Neurospora crassa OR74A: one gene and its partners. The protein of the gene in region 6 interacts with the protein of the main gene of each other region in a pairwise test. Links are inferred from orthologs where the notes say so. Each region holds a gene or a part of one and is shown on either strand. Other genes may lie near its edges.

Evidence for each region.
Region 1: the proteins of NCU06217 (region 6) and NCU07712 interact in binary tests that used the Saccharomyces cerevisiae proteins (3 or more experiments, as listed by UniProt). The link is inferred for Neurospora crassa OR74A from reciprocal best matches to the Saccharomyces cerevisiae genes NOP4 and DBP10.
Region 2: the proteins of NCU06217 (region 6) and NCU04041 interact in binary tests that used the Saccharomyces cerevisiae proteins (3 or more experiments, as listed by UniProt). The link is inferred for Neurospora crassa OR74A from reciprocal best matches to the Saccharomyces cerevisiae genes NOP4 and MAK5.
Region 3: the proteins of NCU06217 (region 6) and NCU09131 interact in binary tests that used the Saccharomyces cerevisiae proteins (3 or more experiments, as listed by UniProt). The link is inferred for Neurospora crassa OR74A from reciprocal best matches to the Saccharomyces cerevisiae genes NOP4 and NOP12.
Region 4: the proteins of NCU06217 (region 6) and NCU00981 interact in binary tests that used the Saccharomyces cerevisiae proteins (3 or more experiments, as listed by UniProt). The link is inferred for Neurospora crassa OR74A from reciprocal best matches to the Saccharomyces cerevisiae genes NOP4 and NSA2.
Region 5: the proteins of NCU06217 (region 6) and NCU01301 interact in binary tests that used the Saccharomyces cerevisiae proteins (3 or more experiments, as listed by UniProt). The link is inferred for Neurospora crassa OR74A from reciprocal best matches to the Saccharomyces cerevisiae genes NOP4 and LOC1.
Region 7: the proteins of NCU06217 (region 6) and NCU09894 interact in binary tests that used the Saccharomyces cerevisiae proteins (3 or more experiments, as listed by UniProt). The link is inferred for Neurospora crassa OR74A from reciprocal best matches to the Saccharomyces cerevisiae genes NOP4 and MAK21.

The regions. Positions count from the first base shown.
Region 1 is NC_026504.1:2,109,850-2,113,994, reverse strand, and holds the start of NCU07712 (ATP-dependent RNA helicase dbp-10), read right to left. Parts: upstream 2,801-4,145; 5' UTR 2,687-2,800; coding exon 2,374-2,686; intron 2,308-2,373; coding exon 1-2,307. Other genes in the region: NCU07713 (DnaJ domain-containing protein), read left to right, coding at 3,121-3,234, 3,318-3,893. UniProt on the Saccharomyces cerevisiae protein: ATP-binding RNA helicase involved in the biogenesis of 60S ribosomal subunits and is required for the normal formation of 25S and 5.8S rRNAs.
Region 2 is NC_026506.1:2,535,164-2,539,205, reverse strand, and holds NCU04041 (ATP-dependent RNA helicase mak-5), read right to left. Parts: upstream 2,801-4,042; 5' UTR 2,718-2,800; coding exon 2,493-2,717; intron 2,432-2,492; coding exon 239-2,431; 3' UTR 103-238; downstream 1-102. Other genes in the region: NCU04040 (tRNA (uridine-2'-O-)-methyltransferase TRM7), read left to right, coding at 3,338-3,440, 3,510-4,042. UniProt on the Saccharomyces cerevisiae protein: ATP-binding RNA helicase involved in the biogenesis of 60S ribosomal subunits and is required for the normal formation of 25S and 5.8S rRNAs. Required for the maintenance of dsRNA killer plasmid.
Region 3 is NC_026501.1:5,442,169-5,446,363, reverse strand, and holds NCU09131 (nucleolar protein 12), read right to left. Parts: upstream 2,801-4,195; 5' UTR 2,499-2,800; coding exon 2,488-2,498; intron 2,425-2,487; coding exon 2,361-2,424; intron 2,300-2,360; coding exon 1,190-2,299; intron 1,121-1,189; coding exon 521-1,120; 3' UTR 65-520; downstream 1-64. Other genes in the region: NCU09130 (hypothetical protein), read left to right, coding at 3,403-4,195.
Region 4 is NC_026501.1:6,508,714-6,512,323, forward strand, and holds NCU00981 (ribosome biogenesis protein NSA2), read right to left. Parts: upstream 2,165-3,610; 5' UTR 1,981-2,164; coding exon 1,978-1,980; intron 1,861-1,977; coding exon 1,842-1,860; intron 1,766-1,841; coding exon 1,480-1,765; intron 1,335-1,479; coding exon 893-1,334; intron 826-892; coding exon 790-825; 3' UTR 501-789; downstream 1-500. Other genes in the region: NCU00980 (hypothetical protein), read right to left, coding at 2,860-3,610. UniProt on the Saccharomyces cerevisiae protein: Involved in the biogenesis of the 60S ribosomal subunit. May play a part in the quality control of pre-60S particles. Under normal, rapid growth conditions, high levels of NSA2 would allow the progression of pre-60S particles through the ITS2 processing.
Region 5 is NC_026505.1:3,571,647-3,574,781, reverse strand, and holds NCU01301 (60S ribosomal subunit assembly/export protein loc-1), read right to left. Parts: upstream 1,716-3,135; 5' UTR 1,587-1,715; coding exon 1,278-1,586; intron 1,169-1,277; coding exon 848-1,168; 3' UTR 501-847; downstream 1-500. Other genes in the region: NCU01302 (hydrolase), read left to right, coding at 17-145, 200-343; NCU01300 (imidazoleglycerol-phosphate dehydratase), read left to right, coding at 2,155-2,431, 2,515-2,927. UniProt on the Saccharomyces cerevisiae protein: Required for efficient assembly and nuclear export of the 60S ribosomal subunit. Involved in asymmetric localization of ASH1 mRNA.
Region 6 is NC_026503.1:1,936,286-1,940,292, forward strand, and holds NCU06217 (nucleolar protein 4), read left to right. Parts: upstream 1-1,207; 5' UTR 1,208-1,382; coding exon 1,383-3,701; 3' UTR 3,702-3,865; downstream 3,866-4,007. Other genes in the region: NCU06216 (nuclear condensin complex subunit 3), read right to left, coding at 1-668. UniProt on the Saccharomyces cerevisiae protein: Required for 60S ribosomal subunit synthesis. Probably involved in the processing of 27S rRNA to produce mature 25S rRNA.
Region 7 is NC_026501.1:3,985,411-3,989,686, forward strand, and holds the start of NCU09894 (CCAAT-box-binding transcription factor), read left to right. Parts: upstream 1-1,476; 5' UTR 1,477-1,481; coding exon 1,482-2,288; intron 2,289-2,345; coding exon 2,346-4,022; intron 4,023-4,084; coding exon 4,085-4,276.

The DNA of each region.
Region 1 (4,145 bases), on a different chromosome or scaffold from region 6:
TGAACTTGTCCGCATCCTTGGGCGCCTTCTCCATCTTGTGCTTGTACCGCGGTTGGCCAGGTTGGGCTCCGAAGTTGCGGATGAGCTGCGACTTCTCCGTCTCGCCAATCGTGGGCAACTTGCCGAGACGGTTATCCTTGCGCCACCGGTCGAAGCGGCCGCTCTTGAACGAGGCGGCAATCTTGACACCGGACTCGCCACGAATCATCTTGGCGCCCTTGGAGCCGTCCTCATCGTTGGCGACCGCCACGTACTTGCTGTGACGCTTGTCCCAACGCATCTTGGATTTCGTGGGCAGACCGAAGTTCTTGGCACTCTCGTCGTTGGTCAGGTCCATGGTAGCGTCGCGAGCGGCCTCGACGAAGCTGTTGCCGCTGTAGCCGCCCGAGTGAACACCGTAAGCCTTCTCCTCCGCAAGGCTAGTGGTGCGAGGCGTGTAGGACATGAAGATCTCGGGGTCTTGGAAGTTGACCGGGCCACCCTTCTTCTTCGTATGCATGCTGCTGGATACTGTAACCTCCATCTCCGAATCCGAGTCGTCGGCGTATGGGTCTTCCTTGGCTTCCGCCTCTTCTGCCTCTTCCGCCTCTCCCTCCTCTTCCTCATCCTCAAAGTCTTCGAACGCATTGGTCTCCTCGCCGTCAGGTTTACCCTCGGCATCTTCCATGTCCACGTCCTCATCATCCTCGTCGTTGGTAGTCTTGCGCTCCTTGAATCTGGAACGCATGTTTCGTACAACTTCCGCGGCCTTATTGCGGCTAGACTTGCCCTTAGGGCCAAGTTCAAAGATGGTTTCCTGGGGCTTGAAGCGGTTTATCCTGCTGAGAAGATCATCGCGAGCTGCCTGGGCTTCAGCGGCTTCTTCTCCAAACAAAGGATGGAGCTGTGTCCAGCCCCTGGACTGCGTAACTTCGCGGGCTCTCTTTGCGCTCTGGCTCGACGCAGAATTCCTCGTCTTCATGTAGAGCTTCTCGGCCTTTGCGGCAACACCCTTCAGCGCCTTGAGATCGGCACTCTCCTTGAGCGCCTTCTCAACCCACTCAATGTTAACATCCACTCCATCTCTCTTTAGTGTTCCAACTACGACGTCTGCCGCGAAGGAAGGGTTCTTCTGATCGTGGCCGATAATAAGTTTCCTTCCCAGGAAGAGCTGTAGATCAAGTAGATATGGTACGTCTGACTGACGGACCAAACCATAGGCCCAACCACGCTGACCCGCACGAGCTGTACGACCAACACGATGGACAAAGATCTTGGGCTGAGATGGGAAATCGTAGTTGATGACGTTGGCGAGAGCAGGCATATCAATACCACGGGCGGCGACATCGGTAACCACGAGAATATGTGTTCTTCCCCGACGGAAGTTGTCAACTTGGATCAAACGGGCCGTCTGGTCAAGCGAACCGTAAACGTAGGACACGGCAAAGCCTGCGAGTTTCAACAGGTTCGCAATGTACTCGACGTGATGTTTCGTTGCTGTGAAGATGATGGTCGAGTATTCCGTCGGCTTCTCCTTAGGATTGGGCCTGTACTCGCGTTTCCTTTTCCTCGCCTGCAATTCGTCACTCTCTTCCTTTGTGCCCTCGGGCGGACCCAGCGGGACCTTGATGACGTCGTGGAGAAGATGGAGAAGGGCACCCTCCTTCTCACCTCCCTTTACTGCGAAGAAAGCACTCTCGAGGTCGGGTGACACCTTGGTTTCGGCATCCAACCTGACAAGGCTTGGCTCTTGAAGACCGGCTCTGGCGAATTCGACCAAGGACGATGGGAGCGTCGCAGAGAAAAGAAGCGTCTGTCTGGAAGGAGGGAGGGCGTGAAGAATTTCGGTCAACTCAGTAGCGAAACCCATTTCGAAGAGGCGATCAGCTTCATCGAAGACAACGTATTTGATGGAGGCCAAAGAGAGGTTCATTTCAACCTTGAGATGGAGGAAACGACCGGGTGTGGCGATGATAATATCGGGATTCGACGCCATCATACCAAACTGTTCTTCTAGGCTGTCACCACCGACGAGCAATACGGTCTTTAGATCGGTACCTCTGCCGAGTTCCTTGACGACCTTGAGGGTCTGCAACGCAAGTTCACGCGAGGGAGACATGATGAGCGCCCTCGAGCCAACACGTGGACTGTGCCCCTTCAACCTCTCAATCATGGGGATAACGAAAGCTGCAGTCTTTCCGGAACCGGTTCTGGCCATGCCGACCACATCTTTTCTTTCTAAAATCAGGGGGATCGCTTTGCGCTGAATGGGGGTCGGGACGGAGAAGCCTTTTCTGGTAATCGCTCGGAGGAGATGGGCGTTTAGACCTAGGAGAGTATCAGCAGCTGCCCCAAGCATCATCAACTTATGCCATGGGACGGAAGACTACGCACCCATTGCCTGGAAACCTCCACCCTTCTTGACTGATTTGCCCTGAATGTTGGAGGACTTTCTCTGCGAGCTCCGTGTGAGCGAAGCGATAAAGGCTTCGTCATCATCGCCCTCGCCATTAAAGCTAGGTAGTCCATCATCGCCGTTACCGAGAAGATCGTTGAAATCGAGGTCAAGCCCGCTGTTCGTAACAGCTCCCTTCTTGGTGTGGTGCTTGCTGCTGTTGTCTTCGAAGTCGCTGTCGTTGTTGAACAAAGCACCCGCGATGTCAACCTCGTTCTCGGACGGTGTGGGGGACGCTGCGCGTCTAGGCATGGTGAGCGAGGGTTGTGTTGCTGCCAATTGCAGCACGAATCGCTAATTGAAGATGCAAAGACGGACGGGGTGGGTTGGAGTTTAGGTTGGTGATGATGATGGGGTCTTGGGGTCTCTTGTCTACTGTAGCCATCAATGCCTGCCCGTCACCCGTAAATTTTGGATGGTCGACTTTTTAGTGGGGCCAATGTGACATTTATCCATTATCAGCTTATCAAGTACACCCATTGCATGCCCGTGGGTTTGCCTTGGCAGCGCTGGCGTGCGTTAGCTGTGCTTTCCGCGCTCCTGGAGGTGTCGCAAGTCGCAACTACTGAACTTCCCTAAACTTCCCCGGAGTTGCGTTCCGTTTGGTAGACCGAACTTACTTATCCATCAACCCTTTGTAATTGATCAAACAAGCATCCAGATTGACCCTCCATTCCGGCGACAATATGGCGACAGACACTAAGGACGTGAAGGACGTTAAAGACGTCAAAGACGAAACTCCTGCCGACACTCGGGATGCGCTTGAAGTGCTGGAATCTGAAGCCAAGGAGTGGGAGAAGGCAAGCCAGACAACAACCACGCCCAACTATACCAACATTTACATCCCCAACTCAGTAGTTGCTGACAATCTAAATTCCGACAGGATGCCGAGATCGACCGTATCTTGAAAGCCTTCCGGCTCGACGCCTACTCAGTCCTCGGCCTCAAGCCCGGCGTGACCGAATCCGACATCAAGATTGCTTACCGCAAAAAGTCCCTGCTGATCCATCCCGACAAGACCAAAAACCCCTTGGCGCCTGAGGCGTTCGATAGACTGAAGAAGGCGCAAACGGAGCTAATGGAGGAGAAGCACCGCAAGAACCTAGACGAAGCTATCGCGGACGCGCGCATGCTGCTGATCCGCGAGAACAAATGGACGGTCGACAGCCCTGAGCTCAAGACGGCCGAGTTTGAAAAGAAGTGGCAGGAAAAGACCAAGTTTGTGCTGATCGAGAACGAGCAGCGACGACGCAGACAGCTCAAGGCGCAGATGCAGGAGGAAGGCCGCGAGCAGCGGAAAGCTGACGAGGAGGCTGAGCAGCGCAAGCGCAAGAGGCAGCACGAAGAGGACTGGGAAAAGACGAGAGACCAGCGCATCGATAGTTGGCGCGCGTTTCAAAAGGGCAAGTCTGGGGATTCGGATAAGAAAAAGAAAAAGAAGTTGAAGCCTATTGGCTGAGCAAGAAGAACCTGCAATGCTCTTTCATATGAGCATGCGCAGCAATATTCAACTACGGCAATTGCAAGATGTGTTCATCAACGATGCAGTAGCGGAGCTTACAACGAATCGAAGGAAGCCATTTTTCTTGGGTTTAGAGGAATGGGGGTGTTTACACGCAAAGCTTTGGGTCGCGACTTGGTCGCTGTTTTATGGGACAAGGTGCTTATACATATACACATCAGAGAATCATGTAAGTCCGAGAAATTGAAG
Region 2 (4,042 bases), on a different chromosome or scaffold from region 6:
GAATCTAGGCCATGGGGAAGATGGAGACCTTGATGGACCCATGGACCCTGTCTCACTTGGCAGCACAGTCCAAGACGTGAACTGTTCTTTTAGTGCCTTATAGAACAAAACACGAGAGAAAAAATACAAGACATCTTACTCAGAGTGAAGAGACCGGATACTATATGTAGATCACCGCTCAGAATTAAATGGTTAACCGTGAAAGGAAACATGCAATACCACAGCCATGAATCTGCGTCTAATCATCCAAGCCCAATCCGTCCACCTGGCCCAAAAACAGCCCCTGCTCGCCCTTCAGCAGCTCACTAACATCCAGTCCAGTGAGGTACCTCTCGCTGACGCCCGTGTTGATCCTCTTGCTCAAGAGGTCTCTCAACGCAGCCCTCAGCGACGCCAACTCGCCCTTGCTCATCTGCTGTGCCTCCTTCTGCTTCTGCTTCTTGGAGCTACCCTTGCCACCCCACTTGCCCGCCTTCTCAAGCTCTTCCGAGTCATAGTCGACGCCCAAGTCCTCTGCCGCCTTCTTCATCCAATCGTCCTCTTTTCCACCCATGGTCTTGGCCTGCACCGCATCCGCGATCTTCTTGGCCAAGTCGACGCGCTCCCGCAACTTGGCGACGATGCGCCGGTCGATATCGATGGTGCGAAGTCCGCTCGAAACGAGCTTCTTGGTGTTGTTGCCCGAGTTGCCGGCCTTGACCTCGGCCTGGGCGTGCACCTTGGCAACGAGGCGCTGCGTCGGCACGGCTTCTTTGGGCCCGCAGAGCAGGATGCTCGTGCCCGAGTTGGAGGCACGGGCGGTACGGCCGGAGCGGTGCACGTAGTCCTCGGCGGCGCGCGGGACGTGGTAGTGGATGACGAGGTCGACGTCGGGGATATCGAGACCACGGGCAGCAACATCGGTAGCGACCAGGATAGCTGCAGAACCGTTCTTTTTCTTTGCGCCTTCGTTGGCCTTGAAGCGGTCGATAGAGCGCAGACGGGCTTGCTGGATCATGCCCGAGTGGAGAGGGAAGGCTGGAAGATTGAGGTTCTCGAGGAGGGGGGTTAGGCGACGGACAGAGTTGACCGAGTTGGTGAATACAAGCGCGCGCCGTGTGGGCTGGAGCATGAGAGTGGCATAGAGGTAGAGATCCTTCTCCATGTCGCCGCACATAATGAGACCCTCCTTGAGGTTCTCGGCCATTTGGTGGACGGGATTGGCGTCGACAAACTTGGGGGTTTCGCGGAAGTTCAGCTTCTGGAGAAGATACTCCATGTCCTGGGTGCTCGTCGCCTTGAACTTGGATTTTCCGGCCAACTTTTGCTGCAAGTTCTTGTTGAACGTGGCGGAGAAAATGAGAGTCTGCCTCTTGTTGACGTGCTCTTCCTCCTCCTCCTCCTCCTCCTCGCTGTCCTCTTCTTCCTCTTCCTGTCCCTCCTCATCAGTACCGCCCATCTTCTGATCCTCATTGTTCTCTTCCACCGGTGGCCTGTCAAGAGCCTTGAAAATCTCCTCGGCCTCCTTGAAGTGACCGTCCTTAAGAAGTCTATCTGCCTCATCCAACACGAGGAAGGAGATGTTCCTCAGAGAAGCGAGCACAGAGTTATCTGAGCTCATAACCTCCCACATTCTGCCCGGGGTCGCAATGACGATATCGGCGACCTGGAGCTGTCGTTTTTGCTTCTGTACGGCCATGCCACCAAGAACCGAGCAAATGTAAGGTGCTGTAGGAAGACCTTTGCAAAGCGCTTGAAGATGGTCTCTGATCTGCTGGGCAAGTTCTCTGGTGGGTGACAAAATCAGCGCTGTAGCGCCCTTTCTCTCTTCCTTGTTCTGCTTCCTCGTCTCAGCAGCGCTCAACCAGCTTTCGATGACGGGAATTCCGAATGCCAACGTCTTTCCCGAACCGGTGGATGCTTTTCCGATAACGTCGTGACCAGCCATGATCTCGGGAATAGCCTTGGACTGAATCACGGTGGGCTTGGAGAACCTGAGTTTGGCGATGGACGAGATCATACGAGGTGACAAATCGAGTGGCACCCATTCGGACATATCAATTTCCTCCTCTTCAGGCTCAGGAAGCTCCTCCAGTTTGGTGAAAAGATCGGTTTCTAGTTCGGGGTCCTTCGGCTCGACAGTAGTTTTCTCGTTCTTGCGGGCCTTCTTCTTGTCCTCGGCGTTCTTCTTATTCGCTGCCTTATTTGGCTGCTCCTTCTTTGGCTGTTGCTTTTGCTGCTTTTGCTGCTTTTGCTGCTCCTTTGGCTTCCTCTGGTCCTTGGAGGCCTTCTTTTCCTTGGCTGGAGTACTCGCAGCTTCGGCCTTGGTTTCTGATGTCTTGACTTCCTGGTCCGCATTTCCAGCAGGTTTCGGTGTCTCTTCGTCGTCGAAACCACCAAACTCTTCGCCGTCATCTTCTACCTCTGCCTCCGACTTGGGGACCGCAGCCATCTAAAGACATATGTGAGTTCATTCATGTCCTGTCGCTGTCATCATCCATGACCCAACTTACGAACTTGACAACATCGCCATCCTTTACAATGTCAACACCGGTAATTTCCTCCAAACCAAAGAAACCCTCCGCATCATCGAACATTTCAGGAATGTCGACCGTCTTCCATGCCAGCGCATCAACGGAAACAGGTCGCTTGATCTGCTTAGACGACGGTTGCGTCTTGCGGCGCTTTGGCCCGCTGGCGGGGGCTTTTGTGTTCTTGCGCTTCTTATCGACGGCCATGGTGTGAATATGTCGTCGTTTTCGGGTGGAAAAGGGTGTCGGGTTTGAGTGCTTGAGGTTGTTGGATGCACTGATGAACTTTGATTTGAAGGGTGTTGTTGACACTGCTCAGTGAAAATGGCTGTAAAAGTGAAATGGAAATTTTGGCTCCACCTTGCAGCTGGGTTGCAGCAGCCTCTAGCTGGAACAGGCTAGCCCATGTGCTGTAAATGACACCGCCTACCTATTCCAGGTCTGGCTAACAAGCTTGTAGTGTAGAGGGTGCCGACAGAATAGGACGTGGAAACAATCAGTCTGACTTTGATGGAGGAAACAAAACATGAGACGACATCTTATGATTCAAAGCTTTCGTTTATCGCCAAAGTCCTTCCCTCCAAGTATGCGCGTCTATGGTGTGCGAGTGCTGGGGCCGCCAAGGTGCTCGATAATTATGCCGGCAGAATCCTTTTTGGCGGTGACTATTTGCAGCAGACGGACCCAAATCGGCGCCCAGCGACAGCGACCCGTCACCAGGCAAAAGTGGGGCCCAGTCTCTTTCACAAGCTCCCGTCATTCACTCTCGTCACCCACTCGCGGCACTTCATTATTCGACACAAGTAAGTGAGAGCGAAGCATTCAAAATGGGGAAATCATCAAAAGACAAGCGTGATGCCTACTATCGCCTTGCAAAGGAGCAAGGATGGCGTGCCAGAAGTGCCTTCAAGCTTCTTCAACTAGACGAAGGTAAGAACTGTTTATTGCATATGTAATGTAAAGAAGTGTATCACCGCTAACACCGAGCGTTCCCATCAGAATTCAACTTGTTTGAAAATGTCACTCGTGTGGTCGATCTCTGCGCTGCCCCCGGTTCCTGGTCTCAGGTTCTATCGAGGGTTCTCATCAAGGGAGAGAAGTTCGGCCGGTGTGCTTGGCAAGACCGTGAGGCCAAGTTCCGCCAACAGATGCTCAACGTCTTTCCCGAGAAGCAAGACGCTCAGGATGAGGTTCAGAGGGTGCAGGCGACTCAGGAGAGCACGCCGGCTCCCAGGGAACAGGTCAAGATTGTGTCCATCGACTTGCAGCCCATCAGCCCTCTGCCAGGAATCATCACTCTCCGAGCCGACATCACACATCCCGCCACCGTTCCGCTTTTGCTTAAGGCGTTGGACCCCGATTTCGACCCAAGCACCATGAACCCGCAAGCCTCACACCCAGTGGATCTGGTCATCAGCGATGGTGCGCCCGACGTCACAGGCCTGCATGATCTTGACATCTACGTCCAGTCACAGCTCCTCTTCGCAGCCCTCAACCTCGCCCTCTGCGTCCTCAAGCCTGGCGGCAAGTTC
Region 3 (4,195 bases), on a different chromosome or scaffold from region 6:
CCTACACAGCTCACCCACAATTCCACGAGACATCATGTAGAAAGTTGGTATGGTGCACTTGAAGGCTTTACACGTTGTTTCTTTTTTATTTTCTTTCAATGTGGCCGTGTTGTTAATTTTTGTATTGTTTGCGATTCCCTGTCGCAAGAACCACGGAGCCAGGCTTAACAGTCGTTCCACGGTTATACTGCAATTTCAGACAACTACATATGTACCTAGTTCTGGGCGCCAAGGCTCTTCCTCCACATTCCCGTCATTGCGAAGTATCACGCGGTTGGGGACAGTCCGTTGAGATACCTTCATATGCGATGACTGCATTACAGCCTATCCTATCCTATCCATACATGCGCGCGTCATGAATCGAAGGCTTCTGTTCACTTTCGAATTCTGCCCCTTTTCTTGAAGCTTGAAAATCCACGGGCCGCGCCGGATGAAACGCGCGCACCCGCACCACGCCGGCTGCTGCCCGTTGGCTCTATACCAGCAAACAACCCTAAACATCAGGCAAATGGCCTAGCACTTATTTCTTCCCCTTCCCTTGAACCTTCCACTTCGAAGCCCTCGCAGCAGCACGACCAGTCTTCTTCTTACCACCACCCGCATTCGGCGCCTTGTTCTTCTTGGCGCCCTTGAACTTGAGATCCTTAGGTTTTCCGTCTGCCGCACTAGCACGCTTACCCTCGAGAATGAAACTCTCGGGGGACTTGTAGGCGCCCGGGACTCTGGGACCGGTCGCCTCCGTGTTGGCGCCCGAGGCGTGATTCCTCCTTTGGTTGGCCTGGTATCTGTCCTGCTTGTTGAAAGTCTTCTTCTTGTCGGAGCCGATGACCTGTCTGGCAGTGAACTTGCCGAGGAGCTTCTCAGCGCGGCCGGCGATGGTCTTGGCTTCGGCGGAGATCTTGGGGGCGTAGTCGGATTTCTTGGAGCCAGGACCCTTCTTCCCGTTGTTGCCTTTCTTCATAGTTTCCGGAACGGCACCCTGCGCCTTGAGCTTCTTGGCTTCGATGGCACGCAGGGTCTTGTGAGGGGCCTTGCAGCGGCTGACGCGTAGCTCGCGGGGGAGCATGGGCGGGAATTTCTTGCCGTTGAGGAGGATGGCTGACTCGACGGCGTTTTCATCCTACGGAGGGGGAACAGAGTTGTTAGTTGATAACGGGCAAGTAAGAGACAGAGAGAAGTGATAACTCACGCAGAACTGAACGTAGGCGAAGCCCTTGCCGACACGGGTGACAGGGTCGCGGACCACACGAACGCTCTCAACTTTGCCGCCCTCTTTACCGAATACCCGCCAGAGACCTTCCTCAACGTCCATAGGCTGCTTTGTCCGCTTCTTCTTCTCGGTCACCTCCTTACCGTCTTCGTCTACCTTCACTTGCAGTACTGTCTCGTCATCCACAAAACCAAGGTTACCGACGAAGACGCAGCGCTTGTGGTCTACCGGGGCAGGATGGGCAACGCTGTCGACACGGATGTGGCGATCCAACACGATTGTGCCGTTGAGTTTCGAGCAGGCAAGACGAGCGGCCGCAGGGGTACTGTAGACAACATAGGCGTTTGTCGACTTCGTAGTGGCCTCCATCACGGACTTCTTGATATAAGCGGCACGCTTGGGAATGGCAGCGGTAGCGAAGGCAGTCGAGCGGAACCGTATCGACTCAACCTTTTGCGCAGGTTTCGCCTCCTTGTCCAACACTGAAGCCATATGCTTCATCAAGGCCTTTTTGGCCGAACGAGAGGTGACGGCCTCGACGGCGACATTGCTGAGGAAGACGGTGCGGTTGGCCTTCTCAATCTCGTTCTGGGCAGCATCGGGCGCTAGCGATTCGTGAACGGGGACCTCATCCGCAGACTCGCTGTCGTCGTCGTCCTTCTTCTCGGCCTTGGCGGTATCCTTCTTTTCTCCGGATTGCTCGTCGGCCTTGAGACGCTTGCCAGCCGGCTCTTCATCGTCCTCCGCCAACTTGGACAGGTATTTGTGTTCGAGATTGTCGTGCTGGTCGGGTTGCTTCCGCTTCCGTTTCGGTCCATCTTCTTCCGGGACCTTTCCTTGTTCTACAACAACTTCGAGGGTCGCGACGGCTTCGTCTTCGCTGTCACTGTTGTCTTCAGCCTCGTCGTCTTCGTCATCCTCTCCAATGCCGACCTCGGAATCGTATTCTTCGTCAAGCTCGCTCAGTTCCTCGTCATCGCCCTCGTCCTGAACGTCTTCCTCTTTCTTGGAAGGTACTGGCGCCTTCTTGGACTTTGTCGGTAGGGGCTCGGAGTATTTTGCAGCTGGGCGGGGCTTCGCTGGACCAACCTACACAAGATTAGCCATGTAAACTTCCAATTGCCTGTCTGGTCAGAGCGAGATGACTTACACTGGTAGCAAACAAAGCATCCAAGCTAGGATCAACCTTCTTCACCGGCGCAACGAGTCCTTTACTATAATAGTGGTGTCAGAATACTGGAAGAATGGCGTTGACTGTAGCGTAGGGCTGTTCGCACGTTTTACCCATTGTGAGTTTTCCGTCGTGTGTAAGCGCAATGGATGGGAAAGTGGCACGATTCGCCAATCAAGCACTTGTGATTGACTTAGTTCTAAGAGCACGGAAAAACAACTGAAGTTCGACGACGAGGCGAAAGATGTGATTGGCTGTAAATGCTGTCAAAATCGAATTGCAAAGCTTCCACTTCTGATTTCTAGCAGGATGTTGTACAAGGCAAGACCAGTTTCTATGCAGGCAGGTTCAATGGTCCAGGGTTTCAAAGGGTCGTCGTTTCTACCTTCCCCACTGCGCATCGTAAGGACGAGTCGAGGACCGTGGAACATCTTGCATCCTCCCATTAAAAAAAAAAACTCGCTTATCAGTTGTTATCAAAGCTGCCAAGACTCACCGCCTGCCATCGCCTTTGTGTGGTGCGCTGGGCTGTTGGAGACGGGCGGCGGCGGCAGGCAAGCGGGCAGGCAATGGAGCCCCCCAGAAACCTGCCGGTTGCCCATTTGTGTTGCGTGCTGGTGCGGTGCTGTGGGCGCTTGTCCAGCTCCCAGTCTAGGTCGTCAACCAGATACCTACTGCCCGCTCCTCACTCTCCCGATCTGTCTTCCTACTACTTTACCTACCCAGACCGCACGTTATCTCTTGACAATCGCGCCCTCGTACCGACAACAAAGCCATATCTCCGAGACATTTCATTGTGTGCGAGCACACATTTTAACCTTCCGGCATAAACACACTTTACCCTGATCGTGGCGCCACAACTTCAGGTGCTGCTCTTGAGCTGCCCGTACAGTTCGGACGTCCAGTCCGCCGTCCACGACTAAATTCTACGTGGCCGTCCAACTTTCCACTGCTCAGCTGCTCAACCCAACATTGGCGCGTCGTTGCTTAGTTTCAATCTCGTCGGATTCTATGATCCGCGATGGCTACCGGTGACACCGCGCTGTCCTTGGCTCTCTCGAGCCCCCCTCCGCCTCTGCTCCAACACAGCCCTAGCGATGTGTCAAGCCCACTTAGTGACGTGGAAGACAAGCATGGAGATCCTGACGACATGGATTTGGACATGAACAGTAACCACTCTCAACATCGCGAGACATCGGTCCGAACTGACAATCGCGATGGCGTCGACTCGGACCTTGGCGCTGAGACTGACGACGAGAGCAAGCTGTCGGACGTGGATATTAATGACTCCGAGGCAGAGACAGAGAGGCTCTACGACACACCACCGAAAGATCGAGTATCGCGCGACATCGTAGACACCGCGGGTGAGCCTGGCACTCGACAATTCACCGACCGCCGCGATCGGACGTTCGAGCGCAGCCCTAGCAAGCTTCAGCAGCAAATCAAATCTGATTACGAACCGGAAAACACTGCCAGCGGGCGAAACACTCCCTCAGAAGAAGCAGAAGTGGGTGACGAAGAGGCCTCGGAAGACCTGAGTGACGAAGAGCCTGAATTTGCTGCCAAACTACCACCTGCGCGATCTCCCGTGCTGGCGAAGAAAGTACAAATAGTTTCCGCCTCGCCTGAAAAGATCCTCACACTATCACCCCGACATGATATCCTAAAGCGGAAACGCTCCTCAGTCACCGAGCAACAAGATCTCAGCCAACCGTTCAAAAGGCGGACTGAGTCAAATACCTTTCCCGAAAAGCTCTCAGCCGATGACGTGCCTGTCGTCGACATTGAGGTCATTTCGACGAACCCCGAAAGCG
Region 4 (3,610 bases), on a different chromosome or scaffold from region 6:
TTCCTGCGCTTTCCCGGGGCCATTAAAGCTAGGATCCCGAGACATGGGCAAATCGCTTCTTTATATCGCTTCGAGTAGCTCTTCGTTGGTACGGTATCAGCGTTTCGTTGACCGTTGAGTGGTGGCAAGTGGGCTTGAAGAGTACAGAAGTTACTCGTCGGTCTGGATAGAAAATACCTGCTTTTGATTCTTGGAGGCTGGGTTGACCCTGGAGTGATGAAGCTCGGAACTGCTCTCCTTCTAAAATCAAGATACAGAAGACAAGCTAGATGCTCTGAGCTGATGTAGAAGTCAATGTGTTGCCCTTGCGTTAGTTGCTTGCGGTGTTGCATGTCAAATCGACCAGCAAATTTCCATCGACTCAGGATGCAGGGTTCCATACAGCCATTTAGACCTTTGTAAGGTTAATCGCTTGCCAGCATAGTCTGCTCGAAACCCATGGGAGTCAACCTAGATCAAGCGCAGCAGCAACCAGAGAAGATATATCTATGTGTCTTATCGTATTAATCCATGTCTTCTAAACCATCAGGTGATACAATCAACCAAAACAAATGATCGGAGGGTATAATGTTCTACCGCAGATTGTGTGTGTATCTTAACCACTATACTACCTAAGTGAACCCCCGGACGAGATATTTTGCGCGGCCGTGAGTGTCGATCCTCTTTCAAAACACCAGACGCCAGTCCCAGATGCAAAATCAGATTTAACGCAATCCCGTTACAGTTGCCGCCCAAGAGACTAGACATATAATTAGACAAATCAAACCATCACCCTCTTCACTCTTGCGCTTAAACCAGGAGCACAGCGTTCAAGCATCCGTCGTTCTGGTGGAAGTTAAGTATTAGCAGTTCGTCCATGTAAAGTTAAGAGGCGGGGTTGTGCTGGTCATACCTCAGGGTTGTTGGTGATCTGCGCATAACGACCCCAGGCAATTTTGCCCGACGCGGTGACCATACCAAGATCGGAAACGTTGACCTCGATAATAGTACCCTTGGACAGAACACCAAGCTGGGTATAAAGGGGGTTGCTGGGGTTCTTCTTGACGCCGAGAATGGGGAGCTGAACCGTGACATTGAGGGTAGGGTGGGTGACGTTGGCCTTCTTGTAACGGAGACCCATGGGCCGGATGAAGCGTTCGTACTTGACTGGGCGTCTGGTGAAATCGGGTCCGACGAATGTTGGCTTGGTGACGACGCGCTTCCAGCCCTTCTTGTGCACCTTCTTGCCCGTCTTGACGACCTTGAAAAGCTCCTCTTCGCTGATACCCTTGACCTTGGGAATAGGGACCGAGAAACGAGCGGCCTTCTCGGCACGCTTGCTCTTGATCTGGGAACTGCACGAAGAAAACGGTCAGTCTCTCGTCATCGTATGGGACCCTTTCCAACCTCCATGACTACTGCCATCATTGCATTCACATTGGCCTCCACCTCCGCCGCGGCCGTTCGCTTCTCATGTGTCCTCCCATTCAAGTGACGTACCTCAAAGCCTTCGCACTCGTGGGGTTCGAACGGTCGAGCAGATAAGCGGGAACGGGGTTCGAAGGGTCCTTCTCCTCGGGGGCGCCCTTGACATTGCGCTCCTCGTGCTGCTTGATGGCCTTGCGCATCTGGATCTTCTGGGCATGACGCTCCTTGGCAAAGAGCTTGGCCCTCAGGCCACGCAAGTTCTGTGCATTCTCGCTCTGCTTGTGACCCTCACGGGCAGCCTTCTTGCGTGCGCGCTCCTCGGTGTCCAGACGCTTACCGTGAAGCTTCTGGGCGCGTTCTGCGAAACGAAATAATTGGTTAGGGACTGGAAACAGGTCGACGGTAATCAAGATCGAGTGCGAAGGGAACTATACCGATGTATTCGTTCTGAGGCTGTATTCAGGAAAACGTCGGTTAGCATGGTCTGCTCTCAAGTGATCGGAAGGGGTCATGATGTTGAGGAGAGTGGCTGTGGATTGGGAGGGCAATTCGAAGAAATGATATCCGTACCATATTGGTGTTTTAGGCCCTTTGAGGGTCTTGCGGTTCAAGATATGTGGCGACGCAATCTGGCCTTCAGATGTTGTAGGGCGACGAAGGGCGACGAGAATGACGATGCGGTTTAGGTCAATATGCTTCAGTACCTCTACCTATGCGAATGCCTGCTGAACGGACGTCTTGAAGCCGATAAAAAAACCATTCAAGGCTAGCTTTCCTTATCGGGCGGCTCCTCCAGTGGCGGAGACCCGTAAAGAGGTGGACATAGTGGGGCAGCTTCATCACCTGTCATTGGTTGATATCTACTTAACAGCATGTCCAGGAAAACGTGGAGTGGGTTCGGATGAAGGTGCCTGCCAGCTGCAGGGCATTGGAAGTGCACCGCGGCAGCCAGAGCCGCCCGTTGAGGACGAGAACCTTGATGGAAGGCCAGTGGACAACTTTTGTATAGATCCGGAGATCACCTTACCATTCGTAGAATGGCTCCTGCAACTAGGTTATTACCAAGGGACACTAGTTGTGTGGCTCGCATAACCCGCTTCAACGAGCACAGTAGGTATGTCAACAAAGGCAAAACCCAAAGACGTGGTATGCTTGGGGGTGTTAAGATATCTAGATATGCTACACCGTGTCATGACAACCTATACTATAATTCGTCCGACGGGCTCTATTGCCAGCCAACGCCCGCCAATGAAACCGGAATCCGTGCAAAATGACTAAACTCCAGACGCTGATGCAAAATGTTTCTGGGTGTCCGTCCTGTCTTCCAGCCAACGCCATTGCAAAACCGTCTCCAGAAAACGAATTCCTGCCTTGAAATTATCACGATGCGCCGAAACCTTCCCAATTTAGAGGCAAAAGAAAGAAGGAGACACGCCACGCAACCACGACATATCAGCGGTCTCCGGCTCTGGACTTGAGTTTTGCAAGTGCTGCCCGCTTTCTTTCCTCCTTCTCGCGCTTCAACCTCTTCTCCAGCGCCTCCTGCTCCATGTCTTCTCTGCGAGCCTGCAACTCTGCCCGGCGTTCCTCCGCGTCGATGTCGGACAATCCCGCCTCCATGTCTGAGTCATCCTCTTCCAGTGACTCGTAACCACCGCGACGACCATAGCCGTAGCCATCGTCCTCATCTTCGTCGTACTCGATGAAATCGTCCAACTCTTCATCCTCCTCCTCGCGTCTCCGGGGACGTGAGAATGAGGCGCCATAACCGGACAGCCCACGGCCCCTACTTGCGCCTGCCGAGGTGGATGCTCCTGGTTTTGTGGTGGTGGCCCCTGGGCGGGGACGTGCCGTGCCTTGGTATCCAGTCGTCGCTAAAGCAGCCTTCTTTACCTTCTTCTCCTCCACGGCATTTTGGCCTGTCTTGGACTTGGCGCCAGCCGGGGCTGAGGGGGTGATACTCCGCTGACGGTTCGCAGTCGTGCCGTTGGTACCATTGCGGGTTGGCCCAGCTGTCACACCGCTCCTCCCGGTAGTCGGTGGCCTTACATCCTTCTTGCCCTTTTTCGCTTCCTCGGCCTTTAATTCCTTGCGTTCCTTCAGCGTCAACTGCTTCTCCACCTTCTTGTGCTGAATCTTTCCAACGGATGACAGCATGGGCTGATTGGCCTGGGCCCTTGCCATGATCTCTGCATAGGAGCGT
Region 5 (3,135 bases), on a different chromosome or scaffold from region 6:
GCTGACAAATTACTAGATCGCTGTTGAGGAGGCCATTCCCTACCAAGAGATCAAGCAGAACCCCTACACGGTACTTTGCCTCACGTCTCTCGGCGGACATCTTTCATGGTTCGAACTTGGTGGCGGACGATGGCATACTCGTCCTGTAAGTTTCTTTTTGCCTCACTTTCCGGTAACTTTTTGCTGATTTGTTGTCTAGATCTGCAACTTCCTGAACAAGATGGCTTTCGATATTGACTTGGACGCCATCAAGCCGGATGCTTGTGACAAGTTCGATAGCCAGTTCAGAACTCACTTCGACCCTGTGCAGCGAAAGTTGCAGATTCTCGATGTGGATCAATAGATGGTGGTGGAATGAACACTTGAAAAGAACGAAGACTGTACATAGATTAGCTATAGAGATGGGTCCATCGATTGGGCCTAAAGGGTCTAGACGCGCTTCAAGGCACATTGGGGCTGCACATAGACTTAGATTCGCGCTTTCGACTTGGATACAGGTTCGAACGTACGTTCATTGATGGCTTATGCGAGCCACGAACTACACCATCCTGACGGTTTCACCTAATAACATCTACCGACTCATGAGAAAAAGAGGCTGGACCAAGGCTGGCGTGCCCAATTGGTATCTTTAATTTCCACACACAAAATCAGTCAGAACTGTTCCCCCAGCCAAGCCATCCTACCCGCCGCCAGACTTTGATTGATATAAACGCCCAGACGCCATACATGCGAAGAAAAAATGCTTGGTGTAGGTATTACACGACAAACTTCCACCCTTCCTGTCTTCATTCTCCCAGCCCATTCCCAGGAGGGACCTTCAAAGCTCCCAGCATCCTTGCTTGATTATTTATTCGGGAGCAGCGAAGGATACCGACTTCTTCTTTTTCGACTTAACGGCTTTCGTGCCCGCAGACGAGAACTCCTTGACATCTCTGGAGTCATCGTCGTCGTCGCCCTTGCTACCGCCCGATTGCTTGCTGCGCTTACGCTTCTTGCGCAGCGAGTCCTTAGTCTCTTCGAGTCTGGCCTTGCGCTCAGCCTCCTTCTTCTCGGCTTCAGCGCGTCTCGCCTCGCGGATCTCCTCCATTTGTCGCGCCTTGATCATCTTGGACTCGATCTGGCCCTCCTTTTCTGCTTGTACGATGGCTAGGATAGTGGCCATGCTCTCCTGTACAAAGGGGGAAAACATGTCAGTTACTTGATGCTTTCCGGTCTTGAAACCTAGCAAGAAAACAAAAAACCAATATGACCCCAGACGCTAACGAAAGACAGCTTACCTTGTCATCCACAAACACCTTGCCCTTCTTCTTTCCCTTTGGCTTGGTCACACCAACGGGGGTGATCATGTTGAGTTCCGGAATCGCAAGCTCCTTTTCGCTGTAGGTCTTCTTCTTCTTCTTCCTGGCGATAAGCTCCTGGATGTTCGGTCGGCCCTTGCTGGCAGTCACGAGAGTGTGAGCTTTGCCCTTCGGCTTTCCCTTGGACTTGAGCACTCCATCGTTCCTCGACCTCTCCGCATCTTTGCTGCCCTTGATGCCGGATTTGTTCGCAGCGTGCTTGTTCTTTATCGTTTTTGTCGGCGCCATTGTGAGTTGTGGTTGATTCGTTGATAAGGTCGTAAGAAATCAACGATAGATGAAATGGTGGTTCGGGATATGGATGGGTGGATGGAGTACGAATACTCTCGAATGTATCCTGTACGCTGTCGCTTCAGTTCGGTCGACTTCTGGGGAAAATTTTGGGACCGGAATTGGTCCCTGCCTTATCTTATCGCGGTTAATCCAAGGTACCTCTAGAGCTTGTGCATATAGCACTGTATCAACGCCTGCTGAGCGCGGTTACGGGGCAGTGGGGTCTGTCAGCTCGCCGTGGGGCTGCCTTGAAATCTCTAATTGGCAGCTGGGGATCGGCAGGCGAGCAGGAAACTCTAGTTTCCTTCTAGTGTAAGCGCGGGGTTGGCAGCACTAGTGGAGGTACCTATTCCATATCGATTGCCTATCGGTGCGTTCCCTCACTGGTGGCACTCCGAAATCGCCAAAATTTCCAAGATCACCTTTATTGTCGCCATCCTTACATCGCAATTGATCACACTGCCGTGGTGATATCCCAAGAGTCTACAGTCCCCAGAAGTCTCAGACGCCCTATTCAGACAAAATGAGCACCGAACAGCCCGCGCCCCGCTGGGCCGCCTTTGCACGCGACACCAACGAGACCAAGATCCAGATCGCACTCAACCTTGATGGCGGCGCATTCCCTCCCGAGACCGACGCCCGCTTGAACGTCAGTATCGCCGACGGCCATGCCACTCAGGCTAGCAAATCGCAAACTATCAGCGTCAATACCGGCATTGGTTTCCTTGACCACATGCTCCATGCGCTTGCCAAGCATGCCGGCTGGAGTCTTGCGCTTGCTTGCAAGGGCGACCTTCACAGTTAGTAGACACACTTGGCTTGGGCGCAGAAGTCCTCGTGGAACAACATCCAGAACTCTGAATTGACTTTGTCCCTCTCATAGTCGACGACCACCATACCGCCGAAGACGTCTGCATCGCTCTTGGTTACGCCTTTGCCAAGGCTCTCGGCACACCCACCGGCCTCGCGCGCTTCGGATCCGCATACTGCCCTCTCGACGAGGCCCTCAGCCGTGCCGTCGTCGATCTGTCGAACCGTCCCTTTGCCGTTGTCGACCTCGGTCTTAAGCGCGAGAAGATTGGCGATCTCAGCACCGAGATGATCCCCCACTGTATCCATAGCTTTGCCGGGGCTGCCCGCATTACCGTGCACGTCGACTGCCTCCGCGGCGACAACGACCACCACAGAGCTGAGAGCGCATTCAAGGCGCTTGCGGTTGCCACGAGGCAGGCTACTAGCCGGGTGGCGGGTCGCGAGGGTGAAGTTCCTAGCACCAAGGGAACGCTCAGCGTATAAGGAAGTGGGAAGGGAGTTAGTTATAGGTTTGGATATAGAAGTGCAATGATACCATGTGATGTCGTTTACCGTGGTACTTTGCGCGCATGTTCGGCTGCCATCATTTCGCTATAGCGACGGCGTAGAGTTGAAGTGAAGAATGGAAAACCAGATACATGTTGCGAATTGGCGAATGTATACCTAGGGAATTTACCCCTGATGCAGGTTG
Region 6 (4,007 bases):
CCCTCGAACTGGTTGCCAGCCAAGCGTCCAAGACCCAGCACAGCCTGTGCCCGGACCATGGCCTCCTTGTCGCGAATCCTCCTAAGTAGACTTGACCGTAGCTTCTGGAAGAGGTCGTCGTCAATCGCGTCGAGGGAGTTGATGATATGAGATATGAGTTGCGTTGACCGATAGCGCACAAACTTGTCCTTGGCGATCATCAAGGGAAGAACGGTTTCCATCAAGTGTCCGGTAAGCCGGGTGCTGGGTGTCTCGGGCATGGTGCTGGCGTCCGGGTCGGCCTCGCCGAGAATTTCGTTATCCTTCTCGACGGCATGCCGCAGGAACAGACCGATGAAGCGCACCGTCTTCTCGCCGACTCCCTCGCTCTTCTTGATGGGCATGACGCGCAGGACACAGCGTACAAACTCCTTGTTGAAGTCATCTTCCTCGAACTCGTCGGCCTCGGCGGGCTTCTTCGTACTCGTCGGCTCGTAGCAGCATGCTTCTTGTATCTTGCGCAGGGTCACGGCCAGCTTGCGATGGGATGCCGTGGTCTTTTGGGCGTCGCCGAAGACGGTCGCGACTTGTGTGCGTAGCGCATTGTCGGGAGTATCCAAGGGTGCTTCTGGTACGACCGAGGTCTGGCGCGCCCCGCGTGTCGCTCTCGTCGATCTGCCCGGCGCCATGGTCGGCAATGACTGTTGGTATTAGCGGGGCCTGCACAGCGGCAGTCCTCTATTTGTATGCGATATGGAAAAGGTACAAGTAATCCAAGCCCAAGATATAAGAAAACAAGCAAAAAAAAAAGACGGATGTGAGGTTTCGTAGGATGGCTTTTGCAACTGAGCAGGAGCCGGGGATGAATGAAAGTGACACTATTCGCGAATGAAGGTTGTTTTGTTTACTTTGCACTGCAGGTGGGCTGCTGTGAATTTCCTGGCGGCCCCGTCGTCACCTAGCGGGAGGGACTGTCTGACCTGCTGCAGAGGGGTCGCGCTGCTCGCTGCGCTGTATGTCGCAAAACGTATCGACCCTGCTGGTGAGCTTGAATGGTCTGTGCGCCCCGCCTTTCCTTTGGTGTGGATTGTGGAAGCGCGCGAAGAGAGGAAGTGGAAGAGACGGGCTCAGGATCCCGCTGCCAAGCTTGAGGGAAACGATAAGCTCCCTTGTACGCTCTTATCGGGACTCCACTTCGAATATTTTTCTTTGGGCGAAGGGTCCAGAACTGTTGTCGCTGGGGGAAGCTGTGCACTCGGCGATTCCCATCCACCATTTGCGCCTTGAGAGGGTCTGTTCTCTTCACTTTTGGTTTGATTTGGCTGCTTTCTCATCTCTCCCCTTCTTTCAACAACAACACCACCTAACAAACACATAACATAACAACCCGATTGCTTGCAATAATGGGCAAGGACGGGAACAAGAAGCGCCAACGCGAGGTGGACGAGGAGATCCCAGTTGATCCCGATGCCATCAAGGATTCCGATGTTGCTGCACAGAACCCCCCAAGCAAGAAAGCTAGAGTTGAATCCAACCGCTCTCTCTTCATCCGACAGCTGCCTCCAAGTGCCACCGCCGAGTCTCTGACCGAGTTCTTCTCCCAACATTTCCCTGTGAAGCATGCCACCGTCGTCCTCGATCCCAAGACCAAGACCTCGCGCGGCTATGGTTTCGTCACCTTCACCGATCCCGAGGATACCCTCGAGGCCAAGGCCAAGCTCAACAACTACCTGCTTGAAGGGAAGCGCCTGAAGCTCGACATTGCCGAAGCCAGACACCGTGATGCCAAGAAGACCGGACCCGTTGTGTCCAAGGTCGCCGAGGAGAAGCAGAAACGTGCCGAAGCCGTCGCCGAGGCCCAGAAACCCAACAAACTCATCATCCGCAACCTGCCATGGAGCATCAAGAAGCCTGAGCAGTTGGCCGAGCTATTCAAGCCATATGGTAAGGTCAGGTTCGCCGACTTGCCCAACGATAAGGGCAAGCTCTCTGGTTTCGGTTTCGTCACCCTCCGTGGTCGCAAGAATGCCGAAAAGGCTATCGAGGCCGTCAATGGCATGGAGGTCGATGGCCGCCCATTGGCCGTCGACTGGGCCGTGGATAAGCAGACATGGGCCCAGCAGAACGGCGAAAAGTCAGACGACAAGAAGGAGAAAAAGGACAAGAAGGTTAAGGAACCCAAGGACAAGAAGACAGAGGAGGAGGAGACTGCTGGCATGACACAGGAGGAAAAGGATCTTTACAACTTCTTCAAGAGCCAAGGCGAGAACCTCGAGAGTGAAGACGAGGAGGACGAAGACAAGGACAAGGAGGACGAGGATGAAGACGATGAGGACAAGGACGAAGATGATATCGAGGAGGACGAGGAGGACGAGGAGGATGAGGAGGAGGAACAGAAGCCCAAGCGGCTAACCGACAACTCTCTAACACTCTTCATTCGCAACCTACCATACACCACCACCGATGAGCAGCTGAAGGCGCACTTTACCCAGTTCGGCGGCATCAGATACGCCCGAGTTGTCAAGGACAAGGCCACCGACAGGCCAGCCGGTACCGGTTTCGTGTGCTTTTTCAACGAGGAGGAGATGAAGGCCTGCCTCAAGGGCGCCCCCCGCCATCAACCTACCACCACACTCGTCAAGCACTCCATCCTTCAAGACGAGACCGTCGATCCGGAGGGCAAGTACACGCTCGACGGGCGCATCCTTCAAGTCGCCCACGCCGTCTCCAAGGACGAAGCCGAGCGTCTCGCGGAGGCCTCGGCCGGTAAGAAGGACAAGGACAAGAGACGCCTGTACCTCCTGAACGAGGGCCAAATCACACCCTCGTCTACGCTCTTCAAGGTCCTTACCCCGGCCGAAATCAAGATGCGCGAAGCGTCGGCCAACCAGCGCAAGAAGCTGATCCAGTCCAACCCGTCGCTGCACCTGTCGCTCACCCGTCTCGCGCTGCGCAACCTGCCGCGCAACATCGGGTCCAAGGAGCTCAAGGCGCTCGCGCGCCAGGCCGTCGTCGGCTTCGCCAAGGACGTCAAGGAAGGCAAGCGCGCGCCCATCTCCAAGGAAGAAAACTCGCGCGGTGGTGAGCAAGACAAGGAGAACGAGCGCCTCCGGAAGCTCAAGGGCAAGGGTGTCGTCAAGCAGGCCAAGATCGTGTTCGAGACGACCACGGGCACCAAGGTGGACGAAAAGGTCGGTGGCGGCAAGTCGCGTGGCTACGGCTTTATCGAGTACTCGTCGCACCGCTGGGCGCTCATGGGCCTGCGCTACCTGAACGGGTTTGCCGTCAAGAACGAGCTGGGCAAGACGCAAAGGCTGATTGTCGAGTTCGCGATCGAGAACGCGAACGTGGTGCAGCGGAGGAGACAGGATGAGGAGAAGCAAAGGACGATGACGCCCGCGGAAAGGAAGGCGGAGATGGAGGAAAAGAAGAGATCCAAGGAGGCCAAGGAGGCATACAAGGCTGGAAGGAAGGCGGATAGGAAGAAGGGCGCTAAGCCTGAGAAGCCTGCTGGGTGGAACAAGGGCAAGGATAAGAAGGGCCCGGCTGAGGTGGCCAAGGCCGCAGGCGCCGCCCCGGCGAAGGAGGTGAAGGCTGAAGATATCAAGGTGGATAAGAAGGGCAAGAAGAGTGAGATGGTCAAGGAGGCCCTCATGACCAAGATCCTGGCGAGAAAGAGGCAACAGAGGAAAAAGAAGGCTAACATTAGGGGCAAGAAATAAGCCTGGGCTCTTGGAGTTTACCTAATGTAGGGAGAGAGTGTGTGTTTTTCTGCTGCTGGCCCGGAATGTTAAACCATTTATGTTATTCTTAGGGCCTTTCCTGTTTGCTATCTAAGTATACCTTTATCACGATCAAAAGCAATCCCTTAGCGTTTTCCAACACCTCTCAGTCTATTTCCGCCGTGGACACTCGTGAACTCTTTCGCTGGCAGTTCTTAACCAAGACAACGCTCAATAATATTGTACGCCCTCTACATGCTATTATTATATAATAGAACGCCTGTTTGCCTGCTTTGTTTTTCTCGC
Region 7 (4,276 bases), on a different chromosome or scaffold from region 6:
TTATAAATAGAAAGGGTAAAATGAAGGGATGTACTAGTATGAGGGTAAAAGAGTAAAGGGGGGAAAGAATAAGGAGAATCCTTTAGAAATTGGGCAGCTAGCTATACTATTTGGAGGGTTTCTAGTACCCCTAACAGCTCTAATAAGGGGTATTAGGTACATTTGACACCCCTTATTAGCTCCCTCGAGGGGTCCCTGGCAATTGTAAATTTATATAGCGAGCCGGCTAACGGCTAGCACTTAGCAGCTAGTAGGTATACTATACTAAAATAATACATATAGTGAAATTCCTAGTATTTGTTAAGTATTTGCATTTATTAGGTCTAGCATTTACGAGGCACATTACTATAAATAGAAGTGTCCGGTGAGTGGGATTCATTAGTAAATCCAATATATACCCCACGGGCACTAAACTCCTAGTTGTAGGTCCTTCTACAAGTTAATACTAGTTTGTTTGTTAGTTTGGTTCTTTAGCTATACGTTGAATAGGAGAAATTGTTTAAAGCTTCTATTAGCCTTTAAAGAGAGAAAAGGGCCTCTGTTGGAAGCGTTATATAATAATAGCCAGGGTGGAAAATGCTATGGAAGCCTTCTTATACCCCTCTTTGTCTCATTTAGGACCTCCAAGACTGGAAGATATGAGAGAGTAGTCCCCTTTTAGTACCTGTCTGAATGAGGTTCAAACGTTTTTCCTACCCTCGACATTTGGTAGCTGGCTCTAGAGTAGAAATTGGCTTTTTTTTAGTACTAAACCTACAAACACACTAAAGTTAGATTGTACAATTCAATTCTAAATCAAATATTGAAAAAGTTTAATTGTACGGTCAATATTATCTATCCGTACGGTAATGAAAAATAGACTTTCATATTCTTTTTCTAACTTAATAGAGTTTAGTATTAACTTACCAAAATGCATTATATTTTTTCTGATCTTTTACTCTATCTAACACTCTTTTTGGAGTGACCAGACCTACCTAGTAGCCCTAGGAAACTCTCAAAGAAGATAGCTATTATAAATAAATAATTAATAAGATTTTAGATGAAAAAGGCTTAAGGGGTAGTTTTTCCATGATGCTTAGGGATATAGATTTGGTACCTACCTTAAAAAATTCCTCAAAAATGAACGAATAGTTTGGTGCCACTTTCAGTTTCATTAGTCTCCGTTTTACTAAGTTATACTTAATAAAGCAAAAGTAGACCACCGTACGGATAGACAATATTAACTGTACGATTAGACTTTCTCCAAATATTACCCAGCGTAGGACTTAACACTTTTAGCACTATTTCAGGCTTGCATCGCCAAACTCCACCGAATGAAACTTGATAAGAAAAAGTGTCAATCGAAGTACCGCGCCAATGATGAACCAGCCGAGGTTTGGAGAGTACTGCATAGTACATAGAGATTTGTCAGTGTACTGTGTACATCTGTACCTCCACTTGCTCCACTCTTCCTGCAAGACGCACGAGGGTCCGCTAGGTGCATGATCCAAGCATTTTTTTTTCCAACCCTTCCTCGTAGATGGTTTATTTTGCATCACCAACAGCCAACCTCGAGACACATTGTGCCGGCCCGCTGTCCATTGATTTCGGCAACGACGGATTTAGGAGATATGGGCTCATCCAAGTCACCGAGGCAAAGAAAGAGGAAAGGCATGGGGCCGGCTTTCGACGAAGCAGCAGCACTTGCTCAACTGACCGAAAAGATCGACCAAACTCTCGCTGGCGTCGGCACTGACCAACACGCGTCACCAAATCGCAAGAGACCGAACACCACAGCTGATGATCGAGATGCAAAGAGGCGCCAGAAATCTCTACTGGGCACTGAAGAAGGACAAGAGGACCGTTCCAGCAAAGACCAGTCCCACAATGCAACAAAGGAGGTTCTGCTGGAGGAAATTTTGGCCTTGGGCGGAGACGAGGATGATCTTGAGCTTGTCGCCAATGTTGATTCCGACAATGAAGAGGGACCTGGCATGAAATCTGCGTCGGCGCCCGAAAAATCCCTGGATAAGTCATTTCATGAGGAACTGACAAAGTTCGCCTTGAGCCTGGGCTTCCAGAACATACCCCGCGAGGATGACCTTGAAAGCGTGTCGTCTGAAAACCCCGTCGACGAGGAACAAGACGAAGAAGACGACGAAGAAGAGGACGACGACGCGGAACAAACAAAACAGGATGACAGCCAGGATCAGGAACAGCCTCTAGCCATTTCTGCCACAGTAAAAAGTGAGAGCACAACTACGACCGCCCAAGACACCCTGCGCGGGAAGAAAGGCAAGAACAAGCTGGTTAGTTCGACGCTCTCGCTGCCGCAGACTTACCTGGCGGTATGCTAACTTGAGTAGGGTTTTGAGCCCAGACCTGACTGGCATGCTCTCGACCTCGAGGGCCTACCTGCCTTCACACCATCTGCCGACGTTAGGCAATATTCTTCAGCGATTGCCAACCTCAAAGCTTACGCGGACGCTCTCTTGAAGGAGGACGCGGCAAGATACAACGCCCTCCAGGCCTCCAGCTCCACTCAGAAGTTCATGTCGACCATTATGTCTTCCGGCACCTTATCCGACAAGGTATCTGCCTTAACCTTGTCGATACAAGAGTCTCCTCTCCACAACCAGAAAGCCTTTGAAACCCTGATCGGGTTGGCCGGCAAGAAAAGCCGTAGTCAGGCACTCGCTGCCCTGGGCGCTCTAGTGGATCTGCTGGGCAATGGCACAGTTCTGCCAAGTAATCGCCGGCTTCGTCCGTTCAACATGCAACCCGCCTTGCTGGCCGCTTTACAAGATCAAGCTGTGCTGCATTGGGTTCAGGGCCAGAAGCTCCCAGCCAAGCTAACTGATTCTTACCTGATGATGTGGGCATACGAGGATTGGCTCAAAGCAGCGTATTTTCGCATTGTCCAGCTCCTCGAAATCTGGTCGACTGATCAGATTGAGCATTCGAGAATGCGCGCGCTGGAATTTGTTTTCACATTGCTCCGGGACAAGCCGGAACAAGAGGCCAATTTGTTGCGACTTCTTGTTAACAAACTCGGTGATCGCGAACGGAAAATTGCATCTCGGGCGTCATACCTCCTCTTGCAGTTGCTCAACATTCACCCTGCGATGAAAAGCATTGTCATCAGCACGGTAGAGCAAGAGGTTTTGCTCAAGCCAGGCCAAGGTCTGCGCACCAAATACTACGCCATCATCACCCTGAATCAAACCATCTTGAGCACCAAAGAGCCCGCTATAGCCAACACGCTACTCCGAATCTACTTCGAGGCTTTCCTTTCCCTCCTCAAAACTGGCTCATTGGGAAACCTGGAAGCGCTAAATTCCGAGGACAAATCTGGCGGCAGCAACAGGAAAGCTAAGAAGGGCAAGCGAAATCACACCGAGGCTTCTGCCAACGAGCAGGATACGACACAAAAACTCGTATCCGCACTGCTTACTGGTGTCAATCGTGCGGTACCCTTCACTACCGCCGACGATGAGACCATGGAAAAACATCTCGATACCTTGTTTCGCATCACGCACTCGTCGAACTTCAACACCAGCGTGCAAGCACTCATGCTCATTCAACAGCTCGCCGTGACCAAACATCTCGCTGTTGACCGATTTTATCGGACATTGTACGAATCATTATTGGATCCCAGACTCATCACGTCATCGAAGCAAGCATTGTACATGAATCTACTTTTTCGAGCCCTGAAGAATGATGCCGACGTGCGGAGAGTGAAGGCTTTTGTCAAGAGATTGGTTCAGGTGCTTAACCTGCATCAGCCGTCCTTCGCATGCGGGGTGCTATATCTGATTTCCGAGCTGGAGAACATGTTTCCTGACCTTCATTCGTTGCTTACTGTTCCCGAGGAGAATGAAGATGATGGCGTGGAGGCTTACAAGGATGTCAATGATGATGCGGCTCTGCAGCGCAGTCTCTTGCGTGAAGACGCACCAACTTCCCGTCGTGCCACAGGATATGATGGACGAAAGAGAAATCCCGAGCATAGCAATGCGCACAGAAGCTGCTTGTGGGAATTGGTAAGTGCCTATTTGAACTCTGATTGCATGTGAAACCAGTTTACTAACCTCAAAACCACCAGGCTCCTCTTCTATCTCATTTCCATCCATCCGTACACGTTTATGCCAGTAACCTTCTCGTCCGTCAAAAGGGCCTGCCGAAGCCGGATTTGGCCAACCACAGCCTCATGCATTTCCTGGACAAGTTTGTCTACCGCAACCCCAAGATTACCGAGACCAAGCGCGGAAGCTCAATCATGCAGCCGGTCCTCGCT